Linked DNA regions of Caenorhabditis elegans. The protein of the gene in region 2 purifies or fractionates together with the protein of the main gene of each other region. This does not show direct contact. Each region holds a gene or a part of one and is shown on either strand. Other genes may lie near its edges.

Region 1 (7,753 bases), on a different chromosome or scaffold from region 2:
AATATGGGTGTTTTTTTGTTTATATTGTTATTTCATCGATCTCTATTGTGACAAAGTTGTCTATATTTTTGGTTTATATTGGAAATGAATCATTGGAAGTGGTAAATGATTTCTATACTTCCATAAAAATAACCTTCCAATCCACATAAACTTGAATTAGAAAAATGCCGGGGTACTGTAGATTGAATCTGGTCTCCTCTCAAAAATGATTGTGATGGTTATCGTTTTTCTCAAAAACATTTGAATCAACACCTAATTTAAAAAATCTAAATTCATTTTAAAAAACGAATGAATTCGTACACGAAGTCTTGAAAAAGGAAACGCGGGCACCAAAAAAAATTTTCGATTTCTGTAATTTTCCCCCAGTAGAGTTCTACTTGAGCAAAGTAAAAGTGGAACATTTCTAGATAAGAAAAATGCTCACGAGTTGAGTATGATCTTCTAACCATCTTGATATTTTAACTTTTCAATAATAACTTTTTACACTTTAAACATGGCAGCCTTCTGATTTCACATAATGGGAAACTTAGAATTGGAAATTTCGTTTTATTTCAAAAGAAGAAAACTCAAAACATAGCTAAAAATAGCAATACGATTGACGTCAAAACAGAACTTTGAAAATATAGATTTCTGATTTTCAGGCTCTTTTTGGCATCGATTTTTTCCAGTTACATGGAAAAACAATGAGAGGAAAATGAACAATTGATAGAGGAAAAACAGACAACCGTACAGTGTAAGTTATGCAGAAAAATTATTTGTTTGGTGGGGAATACACATGTACGTGGGAATGAGATGGCGAAAAAGTCAAGAAAAAACATCAAAAAATAAATGAAAGAATTTAGAAATTTTAGAGAACAAAGTCGTGAACCCCGGAGCTCTTGTTTAACTCTTTCCATTTCCCAACTGAACTCTGCAACAGATGAATCCATTGTCATTGCCCGTGTAAAGACATGCTGAGTTGTCTGGACAAGATTGTGGAGTTCCAGCACGAGCATATCTAAAATTATACAAAATTGAAAACCATTCAATTTTTCAAATCAAATTTCACTTACGGATTGCACGTCCTATAGTTTCCAGCCAACTCGACTGGAACCAAATTAGCTGGTTGTGGTGGGCAAACATTCGGCAATCGAACATCTGACTCAAGTCCACAACAGATATATCTTTCCAAATTAGTGGAGAATTGGCAATGTCTGTTGGCTCCACAACCCTGGATGGCGTCATTGAGTGGAGCTGATGGAGAGCAGTATTTGTACTGGGCTCCGTTTTCTCCTGGTACAGGAACAAGTTGTGGTGGGCAGTCTAAAAGAAAATGACTAAATTATGAGGGTTAACTCGAAGATACTTACATCCTGTATCAACAGAGTCTGGGGATCTGCAGCAGTAGAAAGCATTGACTGATGTTGTTGTAGTTGAGAACCAGCAGAAGAAGTTTCCAGGGCAAGCTCCATCAACATTTGGAGTACATTGCATTGGTTGAAGTGAGAGAGCAGAAATGAATGGAGTTGAAGCAGCAGGGCAGAGAGCTGGAAATTAATTTTTGGAATTTTGAAAGATAAAAAGTATGTTTAAGAAGCTGTAATTAAAAAAACTAACATTGAAGTTCAGTCGAAGCTCCGCAGCAAACATTCTGATCAAGAAGTGGTGAAGAATAACAAGTGTAACCATCGGGACAACCACCGGAAACTCTTCCATTTCCACCTGGATTTGAGCATTGAACAAGTCTGCTTCCATCTCCATCCTTGGCAACAACAGTTCCTGGTGGACAGGCTTCCGAAAGACAATAGTTTTGACAAGACTTTTGAGAAGCAAAGTTATTGCGATTTCCTTCACATCCATTATATTCAAATGTTTGGCATGTCTTTGAATCAGCATTGAAGTACCATCTGGAGATTCTTGTGCTAGAACATCTAACTCCGACGTCACGTGGTTGAGAGCATACGAAATTCTTTGATGGACAGCAGAGACTCTTTGTTTGGTAAACGGTTCCAGTCCATGTGGTAACTGGTGTACAGTAATGAGTAGATGGGCATTGTCGGTTAGTTGTACAAGCACGTGCTGCTCCATTCTGCTCCTTCCATACTTCTCCTCCATCTGGACATGATTCAACTCTACAGTAATCCTTACAATCTTGTTGAGTGGCAAAGTTATTAGAGTTTCCATCACAACCATTGAAAGAGTATGTCTGACAAGTTCTAGTTGTAGAATCATAATACCAACGAGTGACAGCTGGTCCACAAGATGCTCCAGATTTGTAAGACAATGAACAAGTGTAAGCTTGAGTTGGACAACATCCATAGGTGGTTCCATCATAATAACAGTAATGATTAGCTGGACAGGTGGTAGAAGCAGCTGAAGATCCTCCACAGATAATGAAGTTTCCGTTGGAATCAGTAAGAGCGGTTCCTTGAATACATTGTGGCTCACTGCGAGCATCTCTACAGTAATCTTGGCATTCTTTGTACGTTTCGAAGTTATTAGCATTTCCTTGACATCCAGAATAGATAAACTCTTCGCAGTTTCCGGTTTTAGCATTGAACCACCAACGATTGGAATATGTTCCACAGTTACCTTGTTCTCTTGGCAACTTGCACACGTACTGCGGACGTGGACAACAGACTCCTCCGAAAGTAGTTGAGCCAGAAGTAGACTCACAGGAGTGAGTAGATGGACATGAGTTGGCTCCAGAACCAGTTGGTGAGCATTCCATGTTGCGTTCTCCAGATGAATCCTTGAGTGGTTCTCCAGCAGAACAGAGAACTGAAATATACATGTTTAAAGTTAAAATTCTTCAAAGAAAACAGTTTCCTTACTTCTTGAGCAGAATTTCTCACAGTGATCTTGAGAAAGGAAGTTGTTAAAGTTTCCTCCCTGTCCGAGATACGAGAATTGAATACAACGTCCTTCTCGCGAATCGTAGTAGAATCTTGGCGAAGTGTTTCCAGAACCATCTGGGATTCCGACATCAAAGTATTCGGTTGGTAGACCTCCGGCTGTATTGTAGACTTCTGATGGAATTCCTCCATTTCGAGAGCAGATGAACACTAAAAATTTAAATTAATAAGTACCATCTTGAATATTCAAAGGTTTTATTCTCTTAATATCAAAATTCGGTAAACTCTCATAAACTTACAGTAAGTTGGACAACATTGTTGAAGAGTTCCCATGGTTGTACATTGATAGTTCGGGTTGTTACATCCATTGTCATTTCCTTGACAATAAACTGGCTCTTGTTTGACTCCAGTTGTACGGTCACGATACAATGGAAGACCGCGGTTACAGGCTGAACAGTTTTAATTTTAAAGTAGAATTTGACTTTTTCAAATTGGAAGTTGTTAAACACGGTTAATTTTCTATGTGTCCGTCAGCAACCTCACACTATTGGCATGGTGGTAGGACGATTCACATATAGACTATTAAACTGAGTCTACTGTGCTCATTGAGGCTATATGTATACATCGCAAATTAACCATATAATTTCATTCAATAAATATAAACTCACTTTGTTTACAGTAAGACTCGCAATGATCCTTTGTCTGGAAGTTGTTGGCATTTCCACCGTATCCTTGATATTTGAGCTCTCTACATTCTCCGGTAATTGGGTCATGGTACCAATGATTCAAAGTAGTACCACCACCTGGTGGAGTGTATCCTTCATTTGGTGGTTGAATACAAGCAAATGCACGTGATGGACAACAGAAACTGATAGGATTGTTGACGGTACAATCATCAGAATCACAAATACAATCGTATGAAAGAGCTCCAATAGCTTCACACGTGGCATCGGCTCCTCCGTAGCACTGTTGAACTTGGTTTTCAATGCGGAACTTTGGATTATTTCCGTTAAGTGGACAGAATCCATAGTTGAGACACACAAGACCATCACGAGTACGGAATGGTGGTTGATTGTTGGCACATCGACATTCTCCTGATCTACAGTATGCACCTGGCCAAACGGCTTCACATTGTCGATTTTGTGTACATCCAGACTCTCCCGGATTGATTTCTAAATATATTATTTCATTTCAATTGAAGAAAATTAGTAAAAATTTCAACTACATTGCAGTTTTCACTTATGACTCAAGAAATGGAAAATTGGAAATTTATTTTTCGTGCGAAACGAGTTTATTGAGTTTAAATCCTCACTTTTCAACATTTGTTTGTTACAAATTGTTTCGTAAAAACTGTATCATAAAGGGTCAAATTGCTTAAAAACGTTTACTGATGTACCAAAAAAACGATTTAGGTGTTAGTTTGAAAGATTGAGAAAGTGAATAATCAATTCATAATTTATTTATGCATCAAAGAAGAAAATGGTTCACAAGGAAGGTAAGAAAAGAGAAAATAAGAGAAAAGCAGTCGGTGGCAAAATAAGTTAGGCTTATATATGTGTGTGTGCTTGCGCTGGTGGCATTTTTGTGACTCAAATTTTGCAGAAACGACAACTAAAATCGGATGAGGAGAAAAAAGTTAAAAGAGCAACCCGCCAGGATGGAGAACAACAACCCAGCAAAACGACGACGATAAGCAATGAAACGAAACAATAAAAAATAATGTTGATGAGCATCCGTGTTGGTTCTGGATGTTTCGTTTTGACAAGAGAAGAAAATAGAAGGACCTAGGGTATACTAAAAACACGGGAGACGAGGATAACAGCGCGAGATAAAACGAATCAGGATACTAAATTCTTTGTATGGCATTATTCGTTGGAAGATACATAGAATCACAATTTAAAATGCCATACATAGTATTTGCCAAAATAAAAAGAATATAGATTGTGAGAAACAAAGAAGAAAGTCTAAAGGGATGGGGCCACGATATGAGCTTAGGAGAACAAACTGGATGGGGAACGAAGACGCCGGGAGTTTTCGGTTCGTTGTGCCAAGAGATCTCATTTTAGAAGTTGGCACGACCCGAGCAACTCACGGCGGATATCGGGTAAAAACCTAGAAATTTTGGAGCCCGTGTTACGGGAATCGTTGTAGGGAATCTAGACGTTTTCGATGCCATTTTCACATAGATAAAAAGGAAACGAAGAATTGAAATGAAAGTTTGATGGGACTATGAAGGGGAAAAACGGAAAAGTGCCTAACATGAAAAAACGCATGCATTCAACATGAATACACAAATGTACGTGAAATATGAATAATGATGAAAACGACAAGAAGAATGTGAATTAAAGTTAGAAAGCGAGAAGGCGAGAAGCTAGCACAGCGAGAATGGGGGAAGGTGATCAGTATGGGGATCTACAGTAATCTCGTTTCTCTTTATTTTATCAAATACTTACTTCTCCAGCAATAAGAATCAATCTCGACATATGTCGTCAGACAGGCACATCGCTTATTTCCAGCACAATAATTTCCGGTTCCGCAATCTGTGGAGACCTCACAAGGCCGTCCTACGGTTCCGTGTTGGGCACGGACCGCGATAGCGGCAAGCAGCAACAGAGCCGCTAATTTAAGCATTGTGCTCGCTTATCGTTTGTTGAAAACTGCTATATCACAGTGATCAATAGGGAATAATGGGGGGAGTGAGTGGGGGGACAAACGATTTGTCGGGCGTTTGACCGTGTCCGTCGTCTCTTCGCACGACCGCAAATACCACTACCAAATATCTTAGAAGGGGCCGAGAGTCAGTCAACACGAACAGACAAACCTCTATACAGCACACAGTCACCGTCAACCCGTCGACTATGGACTTGGTGGTGCTCACGGCGGTGGCTCCGAGACCCGCCCAGTCGTTGCTCTATTACTTCCTGGGCGGAACTGTCGTCCCATCTTTCTTGAGCGCGATCTCTCTCACAATATCGAAATGGTTAATTCTCGGTAAACAAATGCGCACAGAGCTCTCGCAGTTAGTGAATAAGAGAACCTAGACATACCGATTGACCCATATTGAACTATTCAAAGAGAAAAGAGTTAATAGAAAAAGATCCCCATCTAATCACCAGAAATGGTTAAAGGAACAAGAGGAAACTGGACAAAAACAGAGAAAAACTGTAACAGGAAATATAATACGGGGATGTGGGGAGGGATGGAGGGATGGAGATGATTGGAAACAGAAATTGAAGACTAGGAAGATGTTGTTGTTGTTGGTGTTTGAGATGAAGGAGCAACCGAATCAACAATTGGTTTTACCGAATTCGTTATCGAGCTTGAAGTACCGTTTTCAATTGGAGCCTCAGAGTTTGACTCTCTGAAAAATTAATTTTTAAAAAGTTTTTCAAAACTTCATTTTGAAATTTACCTCGTTGATGTTTCATTCTCCTCTTCCTGAACACCTTCTGCAATACGAGCAGCACGAATATCAAAAGCCACTGCAATTGCTTTTTCGACTCCTTCCGAATCCAGCTGAAATTAAAGTTTTGATATTTATGTGTTTTTTGAAGTGTTTGGTTTATTCTCTCTTCTTCTCATATTATCATTTTCAACGCGCATGTTTGTTAGCTATGTGTCGAGTGACCATCAGCGTGCGCTAGCGCTATAGAGGATAAGCATCATTATGAGCAACTCGATAGACCAAGAAAAAAAGGTCACCCCCCCCCCCCCCCATCATCCAACGTGCAGTGTGTTTGCCGGTGTCCTTATTTGTTGAGAAAGCCGTAAGAGTCTCTCTATCAGCAGATTATCCTTTTCTGCATTCTCCACTTAGAGTGAGCGAAGAGAAGAAAAGTTTAAGGGAGAACGCCAACAAAGTCACTCACCTGACACATAAAACCGTGTGTAATCAGATTTTCAGTCAAAGTTTCTGGATTGTCACCCTTGTTGATCGACGTTGTTAATTGCCGATGCATTTGATCTTCTAATAGAAGAACAATTGACATTTCTCTGAAAATTAATTTGTTAATGTAAATAATTACATCAGGTTTCATCAGATGCGAACTTTGCACTTTTTTCCTCTAATATACGATACCCGGTCTCGACACGACAATTGTTTTCGCAAATTCAGAAAAGTGGGTGCCTTTAAAGAATACTGTAGTTTTAAAATCTAGTTGCTTCGGAATTTCCATCGATTTTCATAGTTTTCCGATAAAAATATATTTATGTATTTGAAAAATATATAATATACAAAGTTAGTAACTTTCGTTCAAACTTCTACAAAATTTTCATCAAAATTTCATAGTTTTTATCTTGGTTTTGTCCAAATTTAAATTGTTGTACTTTTATATTTATTTTTTAAATATTTAAACTTTTCATCAAAAAACTATGAAAAGTCTATTGTAATTCCGAAGCAAATACGTTTTAAAACTACAGTACTCTTTAAAGGCGCGCGCCTTTTCGCATTTAACATTAAATTTTTCGTGTCGAGACCCGAATCATCAAATTTCGGGTCTTATTTAAAATTCTATCAGGAAAGGGTGAACTGATTCAGGAAGTATACTTTGAAAGAAAAGAAACGTACTCATTTTCAATATGCACATTGATCTCCAAAATGTGTCTATTTTCTAACCGCATATCTCTCTCCCCATTTGGTTCTCCTTCTTCTTCCGGAGTCGGTGATCCAGCATCACGCCCATTTGATGATCCTATTGTAACATTTGCTCCATTGACTTCAACTTCGACTTTACTCGTTGATTCCGTACTCGTAACTTCACCGATTTTCTTATCAACTGCTTCAGGACTTGCTGATTTACCGATGGAAGATGGTCCATTTGTATTAGTTGTTGTACCACTTGGCTGTGATGATTGACCAGGTAAACTAGTATTAACTGATGTTTCTGCAGTGATTGTTGAGTTGGCTGAAGGATGCGTTG
Region 2 (5,021 bases):
TTTCAAAGTGATCAAATGCAAGGATCACATTGAATTGCTCGCCGATCATCTGGGTGTCGTGCGATTTGTTAAAACACGTAACACTGATTACATTCCAACTTTGAGAACACTTCACAAGTATCCATTCATTCTTCCACATCAACAGGTTGGTTATAAATTGATTATTTACCTGGTTCAACATTTCCATTTATTGATGAAAATTCAAATTTCAGGTCGACAAAGGTGCCATCAAATTCATCCTGAACGGATCTTCAATAATGTGTCCTGGATTAACATCGCCAGGAGCTAAACTCACTCCTCTCGTACCAAAGGATTCAGTGGTTGCTGTGATGGCTGAAGGAAAGCAACATGCGTTGGCAATTGGTTTGATGTCAATGAGCAGTGAGGAAATTCAATCTGTGAATAAAGGAAACGGAATTGAAAATCTTCATTATTTGAACGATGGGCTGTGGCACTTGGCTGAAAAATCGTTGAACTGATGTGCTCGAATTCCCGGTCGTCGTGCTCTTTATCAGACTTCCAATAATTTGAGATGATCTTTATTTTATATGTCCATTTTGGGATTTAATTTATATTTTCATGCACTTTCTTTTGTTGTATCTTTTCCTTTTCCATCTCGATTCTCATAAAATTTCCAAAGTTTTCCGTCGAGTTTCTTGATTCTCTTTTCTTCCCTTTCAATACGCCACGCTATTTCTTCCAGTTGAGATTCCTCATTTTTGCGAACTTGCCTGCAATTTCTCAACATCAGAGCGAAACAAAACAAACTTCACTTACTGATTCGCGTGATGAGTCTGTCGTAATGCGTGAAGTTGAGTTGTCAAGCTGCTCAACTTAAAGGCTTTCTCCGAGAAATCATCGACTAAAACCTGAAAAGAATTGTCCAGAGCACATTGATACTTCTCGGTTACTTCATTGCAAACAGCCAAGCATCCAAGAGCCTCACTGATTTTATTATTCTGCTGCTCAATGTTCCTGGAAAAATTATTTTTGCATTAAAGTACACATGAGCAAATATTATCTCGCTAGGTATTTGGCGGGAAAACTGAAAATTCGAGCGATTTCTAAATATAATTATTACCATTTTCTAATCATTCTCCGTCTATTTTGATGTGTTTCCTGCTGGCCTAAACATGCATTTATAACAATTAATTCGGCACGAAAATCATTTAACAAACAACAGAAAAAATAACAAAAATGTTTGATAGCTGACAAAATCGGCAAAACTAACTGAAAAGTTTAAATTTACAGTCTTGGCACCTAATACGAGACCCAACTGTGGGAGGCGGGGCGGTTTTAATTGGCTGTGGAGCGCGTTTCCACATCGATTTCAAAGGGAACATTCTGCTCCTTTGAAATCTCTTCTGCGTCCCCATAATAACTCACAATTCAATAGCATCAAGAAGTCCCCGCTTCTCGAAATAGTTTGTTCTCTGAGCATGTAGATTTCCCTGGATTTTCGCAAATCTAAATTGAAATTTCTGAAAAGAACTTTCTCAAACCAGGTACCGGATATCTCGTCGCGATACTACAGTAATCTACAGTTCATCATACTCCGGCAACAGTATGATCGCTATGAGATATTATCGAAAGAATACGATCGCACAATTTTCTCATAATTTATTTTTGATTTACCTTGTTGACTAGGCTCCTCCTCTTCCTTTGACAAGACAGCCACAACAAAATAACAACGGCAACAAGATCAACAGGTAGATCAAAAATATATTATGAGAAATTTGTGCGATCGTATTTTTTCGATAATATCAGGGAAGTGATTATGTTCAGTAATTTTTGTAATTTATAAATTTTGGAAGATTTCACAAAAGCTATTAAATAACTTTTTTGCGGGACAAGAGACTAATTGCAAATTTTTTAAAGCTTTTGTTTATCTCAACCGGTGAAACAGTGAAAAAGCTTATGAAACATTTGTGAATTTTTATACTTAAAATTCTCATCAATTCAATCTCACAACACGAATATGTGTAGAATTCGAAGCCGAAAAAAATATTTTTTTTAATTTAGCCGCCTTAAAAATTCCAAAGATAAATTCCAAGAATAGTCGCGGACTTCGTGATGAAAAAAAAAATTTACTGTTTCAGAACTTTAATATCTTTTCATATAATCAGGATAAAACATTCAACCACCATTTTTTGGAAGATCCTATAGAATACAAATCGAAAAAAATGTTGTTTAATAGTAAACTTACGAACTGAACGCTCTGCTCAAATAGTCAACATCGTCCATTTTTGGTTTTTCACTGATATAGTTTGAAAAATATTGATTATCAATGCACAATGACGGTGTAATTGTTGGAATCGGAGGAAGTGATGGTCCAGGATCAGATGGTATGGGTTCATCTTCAGAAGGGACAGAGGTTACTTTCTGTAATATGAAAAGTTTCTAGTTTTCCATAGATATTTTTAATTACTCATGTTGTGGTTATTCTTCACAATAAACAAAACATTCAAGCGGGTCTCACAGCGAAATAAATTTTTTAAATATTAAACATTAAGTTTTCAGTCAAAAAATGTACTGTTACGTTGAAATGTTACTATTATTCAGATAACTTACTTGACCTTGTTTCCCTTTTGACTGAATAGAAGGTAACTTCACATATGAGATCCTCCTCGTTGATTTCTGCCATCTCAGTGTTGATGAAGAAGCACCAGGTTTGTTAGAACCTTCAACAAAATTTAATTTTATCACAGGTCTAAAGAGAAAACGTAAGAAATATAACTTTCTTACCTGCAATCGATGGGAACATTGAAACTTTTGAAAAGCAAAAATAAACTCAAATTTTGAGCAACATTTTGAGCAGCAGTGAAAGGTTACTGAACCAGTTTCAAATTTTATTTAGTGTCATGGCATGGCTCTGGTTGAGTTGCAAAATTGTCCAGTGAACTGGAAGCATAATTGGCAGAAAATAAAGGCTTGAGTGGAAAAAAAAATTAAAAAGTCAGGGCCAAAAGTGATTATGAATACGGATTTTTTGAAATTGCACGTTCATATATGACGTCACGCCTCTGCACGCCACTTTAAAATTCACGTATTTAGACAGCTTCAGATACCCACCAAAATGAGAGACACAGTCTCCTCCCAGCTTCTTCCTCTGCAAAACACCGAACAACAATTTACAAAAACAACAATTTACAAAAAGTTGCCGGTGTAGGCATTAGGAAGACGAATATTAGGGCCAGGAAAACGTCCCGTTCTCATCAAAGGGGATGTCTAGTGAACAACAATAAAACTGAAAATATTCGAATAGATTAAATTTGGTATCATTTGGAGTTATTATTACTATAAATATGAAGTACTTGAATCACTACAATAGTCGCATAAAAACTGAGATATGAATAAGTCTTTTTACATTCAACAATTGAATGTCAAATTACCATTCAATATTTGCTTTCTGGACATTAACCATGCACTTTTATTCACTGTCATGAGTTTTCTCTCGTGATATTATTCACACAGCTTTTGTCCCTATCAAAAGAAATACGCGACTGTCACATTTATCTTTGTTTTGTCTATTTGCAAGTCAAATAAGTGTTCTACATTGATGCGCAGACACGAATGTTGGAATTAAACAGTTTTACAGAAAAATGGTTTACCTATAGGCTTACAGGCTATTATCTAGTCCTTGAAAATTAACGGCATCCAAGATTTTTATTCAGACAGGTTTTATGTTAAAGAGAAATAATCTTTTTTTGGGTCTATGTCTACTTTGAACATTGAAAACCTTTGAAAGGAAAGTTATATGGACCATACAAATAAAAACTTATTTTTTTTCTAATCATTGTAAGACAGGTCGTACAATTGGAAACAATTCGATTTCACCGCACCTATACCGTGAATATGAAACGATTTTCGATATTTTATAAACCCCTGAAAAGAAACGTGTGATTACTCAAATCGTTCAGCTCCCTCATTTTTTTTCCGATTTTGCCATTTTCTTACTTTAAATTTTAAAGTTTTGTTTCGTTTCACATTTTCCGCAAGGCTATAATTTTACGAGTGATCTACCCACATATTCAACTTCTTGATAAAAAATGTATTTTGAATTTGTTTTCTGTCCAATTGACCAATTTAAATGCTTGAAACTCCTATATACTTTGCAAAAAAAATTAATGTTTTTCATACATCATAAAACATATTCCAAACTCAGTTGAGAGTTAAATATAGAGTTGAATTTTGAATTGAGATCTGGAAAAATTTGACGTCAGAGGCATCTTCTTGACAAAACGTCGCAAGTTCATAGCAAATTTTTGCAATTTAGAAAATTAATTCAATAGAAATTTAAAAAATGGTCTGAAAATCTTTAGAAATTTGTTGAAAATTTAAAGTGCTCAACAGTAGTTGCAAGAGTACGCTAACAAATTGGACCGATTTGCCGAGTTCTTTTTTTGGGATTCTTGTTGAAAAATGATTGCCGCAAATTTAAGTGATTTGATCTTTGTGATACAGTAACCCAAGACATATGTCTACGTTACTGACAGCATTGATTTGCATATAGTGTATAGAATATGCACAGTCTGAAAATAGAACTATTTTCTTTGAACTTTGTAAATCAAATTTAATTATCCTTTAATTATTATTTTTTTTTAAATTATAATTTAAATCCCTGTAATTTTTGTCGGTTTCAAGAGTCCCATATTACCATTTACACGCTTTCTTTCAATTGTCCATAATTATTCATGAATTTTATTTTCTCCGCCCATTCGCTTTTGCCCACTATACTCAGTTGATGTTTCCATTTTCTTTTGTGGCTGTGCCCTCTTATCTTTTCTCTTATTGCCGTCCTCCTTCTCCACAGTCGCCTCTCTTTTTTTCTAATTTCGTTGTGTGTTTTTCAAATATTTTTGAATGTGATTTATGATTTTTGAGTTAATTTTCTTGAAAAAGAGGTGAGAGAGAAGGCATTTGGAGCATTTTTTTATGGGGATATTTTTTCGAAAATACTAAAAACCACTTATTTATTTAAACATTGTGCACCAACTTACTCAACATACCTTAACTTACAT
Region 3 (3,895 bases), on a different chromosome or scaffold from region 2:
TCGCGTCGAGTTTGGCGCCGAATTCTGCCGGCAGAACTACGCATTTTGATCCGACACTCAACTCTCCCGCCGGTAATTTTTGAAAACTTGAGCTTTTGGATAAATATATTATTCGTATTGTATCAGACATTCAAATCGTCAATATTTAGTTAATTTACAGTGATTTAAGTTAAAAACCAAAAAAACCTCGTTTCGAACAGGAAATAATTCGATTTTCCCCAAAAACTACTAAAAAAATCAAATGTTAAATTAGAAAGAGTTGTGATTAAAAACTAAAAAATAAATATTTTCAATTATGATATAGTGTGGAAGTCCGAGTTAATTTATATTCAACAAAAAATCATAATTATTTTCCAGAAAATGTGCTCTCCGAAGTGATCAGCTCGGAAATTGATAGCCGCTCACCGTTCACTCCTCATCTGCGATCCGGTTTTGGACATTCTACTCCAAACAACCCGAACGCTCCAGGCTACCCTGCAACACTTCCAACACCGAATTTTGAAGGTAATTTTTTTTTTTAATTCATAAAAATTTATTAGCACCATTAACCTCAAGTCGTGGGCGATCGTGCACGATGATGATGATCAAAATTTAAAAGTGTTATGCTTCGCCGTTGCTGATGCGCTCGTCCTGGCACTCGATTCTGTTTGACTTGATCTTCGAGGGGGCTCAATTGAGACGTCAACTTGAGCAGTTGAATGTCGCAATTATTTAGAAGAATTGACGGGTTGTTGGGAGAAGACATACGGCGGTTTCTGAAAATACGTGAAGTGAGAATTATAGCTGATGTCCGTCAAATTGTTACATACCGTAGTGCTGTGAAGTCTTGGCTATTCCTTTGAAGAGCTCCACCCGCGCGGAACATACTTCTTCGTCGATATGGAGTAATTGGAGATGATGGCTGAGTTGTTGTAGTCGTCGAGTTGCTCTCTGTTGAGCCAAGAAGAGCACACATTGGAGCTAGATTTGAGTAAATTAGAATATGAATTTAGCCAACAGAAACCAACAACAAAAAAACTATAAAACGAAAAGCACACGGCACACAGCAAACCTAGAAGTTAGTGTATTTATTGTTATATATATATATATATATACGTGGTGAGAAGGAAAGTGTAGAAGCGAACAAAATCAACTGAAGAATATCGAGAAAACTATCTAAGTGATCTACGAGGTGGTGGTGGGCGGTGTTTAGATGATGGTGAGCTACGACACGAATGTGAATGATGAACTTGAGACGCACCGATTGCCGGCGACATGTTCGGTTCGAGAAAATGGGAGGCGGATCGGGAACGTGATGAACGCATCGATGCCATTGAGATTATCGAGCTGGAATGTTTAGATTTTTTTGTGGAAGATATGGAAGAGCACTTACTTTGTAATGCTTAACCGAAGAGGTGTCTTTTCACTTGCACATCCCTCATATCCTCGTTTCATTGATTCGATTAACATGCAGGAAAACTGTCTCCAAGACTCACAAACTTCTTCTTCTTCACTTTTCTCCGCTGCCCTAGACCTTATTCTCAATATTCGCCGAATTCTGAAAACCAGTTGATTTCCCACCCGTGATGTAAATTGTCAAAAAGTTACTTGCTATCCTCTGTGACAACCCGCATGTACATTTTGCTCATGGCGATCGGAAGTTGTTGGGCAAACGGAGCCCAAAAGCAGTTGTCATTTCCCTCATTCATATAATGTCTATAAACATTTTTGTGAGTGTTGTCCCACCCACGCATATGACTAACCGATGGCGTGCTCCGAGACGGAAGGAAAGCGTCTTGATCATTTCTGGATCACATTTGTGAACTTTGATGAGTATGTTGAGAAAGTCACGAACTTGATTGATGATGTTGAGAAATTGAGCATTTTCCTTATAGGTAGCGTGCATAGTCTCTGGTAGATCAACAAGAGCCCATACCCATGTGGGTGTTAACTCGGCGGATTTGAGCCAAGCCTCACTGAAAACAATTGCTTTTCAGGAACAGTCTGAAAAAAGAGCTCACCTAATGGCATCACTCAGAAGCTGTGGATCGTGCGAGTTTATTGTATTCCACGTATGTACTACATGTTTTCGATGTGTAGATAGTTGACGAGCAGACTGATTGCCCATTTTGTTGCATAGTCCGGAAGATCTCTGATACACTGAAAATGAGCTTCATCATTAAGTATCTCATCTATCCTAACTGAGCCAATCGTAAAAGAACAGAATGAATCAAAGAATGGATTTTCTCTTTTCTATCTGTTTATAGCAACGGAAGCTTCAAAGAGAGTAGAAAGAGCACACAGTTGTTTAGCATGCTCTTTTCGCGAAGGTGAATAATGAATAATTATGGGTATTCGAATATGTTATGATGAGCTCACGAGGACGTAACATTATTCAAAGAAATAGCTGAAGAAGTTGTTTTTCAGACATTCTCGTCGAAGATGCAATTTTCACAGAAAAAAATTGAGAAAGGAAGTGCGTCGATCTTCTCAAAGATGATTATATAAAGAGAAGAAGGTCACTCATGTGATAGGAGGTTCAAAACAATGAAAATGCAGAGCCGATTTCTTTTTAAAATCGAGTAAAACTTGGAGCGGCCGCCCGACTTAACTAATAGCGTCCGGAATATGATAAATGGGGCGGCGTCTTGGTGCTTCAGCATTGCAAGATGAGACCAGCAGCAGATGTAAAAACAAAATACGTCCTCGACTAAATAAGAAAAATGATTGACAACGACGTCCGATGTGTTCTGGCAGCTATAAGGAAGAAAAAAGACGTGGGAGGGGAAGGAGGAGTCGAATTGCACACGATATTCTGAATTTCGTTCTGAAATTCGTCTCGAATGTGAACAAAAGTTCTACGATGAGAAAATCAAATTAGATTCGGGGGTGTCACCGCGACTGAACTCTGATTGACGAGAGAGCCTATTGACTAGAGAAGGAGATCTGTGAATGTGAAATTTGAAATCGAAACAATTTGATTATCTTCTCTTCTACGTCAAAAAGGCGTCCGATAGGCGTGAGAAGCACTCATGAAAATTGGAGAGGGAGACCCCCTTTTTCAAAAAAACTGAATTAGACTTTTGAATGAAACGGATATCAGATGAAGCTTTGAAACTTTTCGTGGACTAACTCTATAGAGATCTACAACGAGATTATTAGAGCAACAAGGCCTGATCTTGAAAACGGAGCTCTAAAGGAGCTCCAAACTAGATCAACCTAGCTGCTGCTGCTGCAAGAAATAGAGTCACACTTCCGGGCTGGAAATAGCAAAACTGGAAGAGTCGAGCAATTTGTTGTGTGGCGCCTCATATTCCACGTAAGGCCTGTTGAACATTGCCGCCGCCGAGTGTGCACACCGACAAAAGAGACTTTGTGTTGCTGCACATGTGAAATTGTAGATATGTATAGCCCTGAGGGCGTAAATCACATTTGCATTCGGTGCTCTTTTCGTTGTCGTCGCATCGCCAAAAGAATCTCTCTTTTAGAAGAACAAGGCGTGTACAGGAAAGACACAGAGATTAGTGTGAGCCATTGAAAGAAAAAAAGAGTTTGCTTCTGTTTTCATCCTCCTCTAGGCTCAGTCGCTGACCAGTAAATTTGTGTGTGTGTGTGCCAGATGAACCCGTGAATAGGTGATGAGGCCAATGAAGGCACAAAAATAAAAATGAGGAAGAATGAGAAAGTATGTACTTTTTTTTATTTCAGGCAACAATGACTCTCAAATATGGGCAACTACTCCGAATACGCCACGAGTTATTGCGAGAGGAGGTCTCGAACGGAATATACATACTAGGTACAGTTAATGAGAAATTTCGTTAAAGAAGGAGCACCTCGAAGGAAAAGAAAATTTCGGAAAAAAACCTGAATTTGCGAAGATCTAAAATATCGCCGAATTTTCTTCGATGCAGCAGCT
Region 4 (4,476 bases), on a different chromosome or scaffold from region 2:
GAAATTTTTCTATTTGTTTTTTAATAATTTTTATTAACTTTTATTCACCTATGTTAGTATCAGTTTTATGGAAAATATCCTCGACACTGGGATCTCGTGAGCCTCGATCTTCTCGCAGAAGTGCAGTTCTGTCATCAATATCTGTAAATCTTTAGAAATTAAAGCTTTATCTCAGCAAAAAAAAACTAACCAATAAGAATTTCGTCTTCTTCGTCTTGGCTTAAAGCCGATTGTACGCCTAACGCCATTCTCATTCGGCTAACTGGAATTTTCACTTTTGAAAGTGCCATAAAATCTTGCTCGGATACCATATTATTCACTCGTTTTATTTCGGCTACCTGAAAAATATTGCAAATAAAATATTTTATTGAAACCGACAGAACTCACATTTACTTGATATTTTATTGCCAATTTATTGAGTGTATCGCCGTTTTTTACTTTTCTTTCAATAAAAACTACATCCTTGTATGTGGGCATATCGTTTTGGAAACCTTCACTCGATGAAGTCCTTGCTGCACGACTTCTCATTGCAAATTGCTCCACTGAGCTGCCTTCTTTCATTGCCATTTTACTGAAAATTAAATAAATAAAAATAAAATGTATTTTTCGAAGTTGTCAAAATCCACGAGACACTTAAAAACATCGTGTATAAATCAGAGACGCAGACACAAGTACAGTAATTTTGAAGGCGCCTATCTCGAAACCATAAAATGTGTCCTAACGCGCGTGTGGATTTACGGGCGGAACAGAATCAGCCTTCGAAACGTTAAACTTGTTCAATCCTGTTTTTTTTTATTTTTCTGTATTATTGTAATGATTTTGCCTTTTTTCAGCAAGTAAATTGATAAAACAACACCTTTTACTAAATTTTCTTACATTTGACACATAAACAGCTTTAAAACGCTTAACAACGAAACAATTTCACTAAATAAAAATTTTAACGTTTCAGAGAATGTAAAACTATCGGTTTAATCTATTTTCAGAGTTTCAGCGAACTTAATAATAATCAAGTTTTTTTGCGAAAAAATATATCCAAAATTTGACAAATTATGTCACATTTTCAGATGAATTCCTCATTAAAAATTAAAAGAAAATAGGAAAACGTACCCATGGGTGCACCTTTAACGTCAACGTTTAAACAAGATTAAATAAATACTTTAAAAAAGTGTCCTAGAAGAATGTTATAGTTTTTCACTAATTTATTTTTTAAAACTTGATTAAAACGGAAGAAGCTTCGAAAATCTTCTTTATAATGCATTAATGTCTTATCTCTCAAATTACGCATTAATTGTACGATATCAAGTGAAAGAGAAAGTCAGATGATAGTACATTTAGTACAGTTTTTCACCAAAAATTATGTGTTCCATTATTTAGTTTACATACGTGGTATAATTTTAAATAATCAATAAAAACTGAAATCCACGTCGCAGGATGCCGTAGCTACAGGTGCAAAGAGATTATATCTGGCTAGCTGTTTCCACGCAGCGGGACGCTGCGACAAACGCACGCAAGGATCCGGAAGAAAAAGAGAAACGAAACAGAAAAAAACAATATGCAATGTGTCTATTGTATACCCGTCTCGCACCCTCCATTTGCTTTTCTATTTTTCAACTGGCTTTTGCTGGCCGCCCTTTCCAATGATCGATAAATTGCGCTCTACCGAACACCTCGGCTGCCCTGCTACCGCCCTTTTCCTTGGCTCTTTAATTTAAGGCTTAACATATTTTATTAATGATTCCTGATGTTAAATTTTGATTTTCCAAAATATGATCGTCTAGATAGTCTCAAAAAATGTGCATCGTAAATACTTTTTCATTTTCTTTCTCGCTCAATTTTTCCTTCCATCTCAAATATTTTTGTTTCCAGGGTTCAGAATGCTTGGCAAGTGCATCAAAAAGGCGTCGTCTACCGTCGGACAATCCATCAGATACAGCTCCGGAGACGTAAGAAACCTCGAAACTTTATAAAAAAGCCAGTTTTGTTCAGGTTCGCCGTGTCACTTTAATTCCAGGAGACGGAATTGGGCCGGAAATTTCAGCTTCTGTACAGAAGATTTTTGAGGTGAATTTTCAATTATTTCGTGTGTCTTACATCATGTTATTTCTAGGCCGCCGATGCCCCGATTGCTTGGGACCCAGTTGATGTGACTCCAGTTAAGGGACGCGATGGAGTCTTCCGTATTCCAAGTCGTTGCATCGAGCTTATGCACGCGGTTAGTTTGAAAATTGTACATTTATTTCTGATTGTTACGTTTTTCAGAACAAAGTTGGACTTAAAGGACCACTCGAGACCCCAATTGGAAAAGGACACAGATCTTTGAATTTGGCTGTGAGAAAAGAGTTTAGCCTTTACGCCAACGTTCGTCCATGCCGTTCCCTTGAAGGACACAAGACATTGTACGACAATGTCGATGTTGTCACAATTCGTGAGAACACAGAGGGAGAGTACTCTGGAATTGAGCACGAGGTATATTAAATTAAATAATAAATGTATCACCTAATAATTGTTTCAGATTGTCCCGGGAGTTGTTCAATCTATCAAGCTTATTACTGAAACTGCTTCTCGCAATGTCGCCAGCTTCGCCTTCGAGTATGCTCGTCAAAATGGGCGCAAAGTTGTGACTGCTGTCCACAAAGGTAATATAAATTGAAAAAGAAAATTAAAACAATTATTTTTACAGCCAACATTATGAGACAATCCGACGGTTTGTTTTTGTCCATCTGCCGCGAGCAAGCTGCCCTCTACCCAGATATCAAGTTCAAGGTATGAATAATAGAATTTAAAGAAAAACCACTTCCTGTTAAAATTTATAATCTATAATTTTAGGAAGCCTACCTCGACACAGTTTGCTTGAACATGGTCCAGGATCCATCACAATACGATGTTCTTGTCATGCCAAACTTGTATGGAGACATTCTTTCCGATTTGTGCGCTGGTCTTGTTGGAGGACTCGGAGTCACCCCATCTGGAAATATTGGAAAAGGAGCCGCCGTATTTGAGTATGTTTTTTGTTAAAAAATGCTTTGACAAATGAAATGAACTCAGTTTAGAATTTTTGTTAATTTCTGAAATTTCAGATAAACACATAGAAGTGAAATCGAAAGCAAAAAATACGAAATTATAAAAGTAGGAAATACTAAAAAAGTTGAATTTGATGAAATCTTGCATTTTTTTAATCTTCTCAATAAAATTTAAATCTAATTTTTTTTAACCTGAAAACTTTATTTTATAGCGAAATACAATTTTTTATTCAAACAAAACTTACCAAATTTCTTTACAGATCCGTTCACGGAACCGCCCCAGATATTGCTGGACAAGACAAAGCAAACCCAACTGCTCTTCTTCTATCTGCCGTCATGATGCTCCGTTACATGGTTTTTATATCGTAGTCGGTCTAAAAATTTTACAAGCTCATTTTCAGAACCTTCCACAACACGCTGCTCGTATCGAAAAGGCTGTATTTGATGCAATTGCTGATGGACGTGCCAAAACTGGAGATCTCGGAGGTACTGGAACTTGCTCTTCATTCACCGCTGATGTTTGTGCCCGTGTTAAAGACCTCGAATAAATGCTCAATGCTACTTCCCCTTCTATTTTCTTTTTCTTATTGTAAACAGGCTGTTAGACACTAAAACACTTTGATGATTAGTAATGATTTAATGACACCTTTTTTCGGTTTTCAATTTTGTATAGATTACCCACCAGTCCATCCCGCGTCCTTAATCGCTTTACTCCTATCCCATTGGCATGAACCACAAAATCGTTCGATAAGTCTTCTCTGATTCACTCGCATAACTATAAGCACCCCGAGACTTTTGTTTTTTCTTCTTCTACACCATCTTTCGATTCCCATTATTTCTGTTCATTTCTGGAAATTTTTATATGGTTTTTTCTTTTCGAGATTTTATAGACAAAGAAACTAAAAAAATTTATTAAAGCAATCGTTTCTACATAATCACAATAAGTTACAGCGTCGCGTGGATTCGGGTTACAGAAGTCACGAAAATCAGAAGAGTTTGAATGATACCCATTATTGCACAATACCAAGTGCTCACAGCCTGAAAAATGTTTTTTCCCTCAACTTTTTAACTTCTTGAAAAGTAAATTTTTTTTAACGTACATTTTTCGAAGCGTACATTGCCAGTGCGAGAACCATTGACGTAGGAGCACCAAAAACGAAAGGAATGATGAACATCATTACTGAAAAGTTGAAATTATGAAAAAAAAAAGATTTTCAGAATCTTACTGATAAATGGAATTGGAATAAAGCAAACGTATGGATGTTTTCGAAGAGTGAAAAGGGAAAGAATTGTGGCTCCGAGACTAATTACCTGGAACAATTGAAACATAAAAAATAGTTTCTGAATAAAATATGTCATATTACCCGTAGCAAATTATGCCAAAGAATACAGACCCCAGTTTCGACACGACTAATATACTTGTTGAGTGCATGGTGTGCGTTCATCTGTTTTTATC

The links.
Region 1: the proteins of C11D2.3 (region 2) and K10D3.4 fractionate together in Caenorhabditis elegans (co-fractionation; one large-scale study listed by BioGRID). This does not show direct contact.
Region 3: the proteins of C11D2.3 (region 2) and glb-4 fractionate together in Caenorhabditis elegans (co-fractionation; one large-scale study listed by BioGRID). This does not show direct contact.
Region 4: the proteins of C11D2.3 (region 2) and idha-1 fractionate together in Caenorhabditis elegans (co-fractionation; one large-scale study listed by BioGRID). This does not show direct contact.

The regions. Positions count from the first base shown.
Region 1 is NC_003279.8:7,134,207-7,141,959, forward strand, and holds K10D3.4 (BPTI/Kunitz inhibitor domain-containing protein), read right to left. Parts: upstream 5,768-7,753; 5' UTR 5,466-5,767; coding exon 5,288-5,465; exon of another isoform or gene 4,276-5,287; intron 4,007-4,275; coding exon 3,503-4,006; intron 3,284-3,502; coding exon 3,134-3,283; intron 3,045-3,133; coding exon 2,814-3,044; intron 2,761-2,813; coding exon 1,597-2,760; intron 1,527-1,596; coding exon 1,350-1,526; intron 1,303-1,349; coding exon 1,053-1,302; intron 998-1,052; coding exon 883-997; 3' UTR 532-882; downstream 1-531. Other genes in the region: hpo-11 (Protein kinase domain-containing protein), read right to left, coding at 6,072-6,195, 6,247-6,350, 6,704-6,827, 7,402-7,753.
Region 2 is NC_003282.8:6,150,180-6,155,200, reverse strand, and holds C11D2.3 (BLOC-1-related complex subunit 5), read right to left. Parts: upstream 3,389-5,021; 5' UTR 3,299-3,388; intron 3,248-3,298; 5' UTR 2,765-3,247; coding exon 2,746-2,764; intron 2,682-2,745; coding exon 2,572-2,681; intron 2,383-2,571; coding exon 2,207-2,382; intron 2,158-2,206; exon of another isoform or gene 2,137-2,157; intron 1,862-2,136; exon of another isoform or gene 1,837-1,861; intron 1,468-1,836; coding exon 1,387-1,467; intron 976-1,386; coding exon 778-975; intron 732-777; coding exon 578-731; 3' UTR 524-577; downstream 1-523. Other genes in the region: C11D2.7 (PUA domain-containing protein), read left to right, coding at 1-145, 213-479.
Region 3 is NC_003280.10:11,109,063-11,112,957, forward strand, and holds glb-4 (GLOBIN domain-containing protein), read right to left. Parts: upstream 2,146-3,895; 5' UTR 2,108-2,145; coding exon 2,001-2,107; intron 1,956-2,000; coding exon 1,743-1,955; intron 1,696-1,742; coding exon 1,588-1,695; intron 1,538-1,587; coding exon 1,373-1,537; intron 1,327-1,372; coding exon 1,241-1,326; intron 961-1,240; coding exon 810-960; intron 756-809; coding exon 551-755; 3' UTR 509-550; downstream 1-508. Other genes in the region: apc-1 (Anaphase-promoting complex subunit 1), read left to right, coding at 1-72, 358-504, 3,688-3,775.
Region 4 is NC_003279.8:8,606,022-8,610,497, reverse strand, and holds idha-1 (putative isocitrate dehydrogenase [NAD] subunit alpha, mitochondrial), read left to right. Parts: upstream 1-1,866; 5' UTR 1,867-1,874; coding exon 1,875-1,943; intron 1,944-1,986; coding exon 1,987-2,061; intron 2,062-2,107; coding exon 2,108-2,212; intron 2,213-2,259; coding exon 2,260-2,466; intron 2,467-2,512; coding exon 2,513-2,636; intron 2,637-2,680; coding exon 2,681-2,763; intron 2,764-2,826; coding exon 2,827-2,999; intron 3,000-3,280; coding exon 3,281-3,374; intron 3,375-3,421; coding exon 3,422-3,568; 3' UTR 3,569-3,949; downstream 3,950-4,476. Other genes in the region: lmd-1 (LysM domain-containing protein), read right to left, coding at 49-141, 191-338, 388-567; F43G9.13 (Vesicle transport protein), read right to left, coding at 3,966-4,058, 4,121-4,200, 4,247-4,331.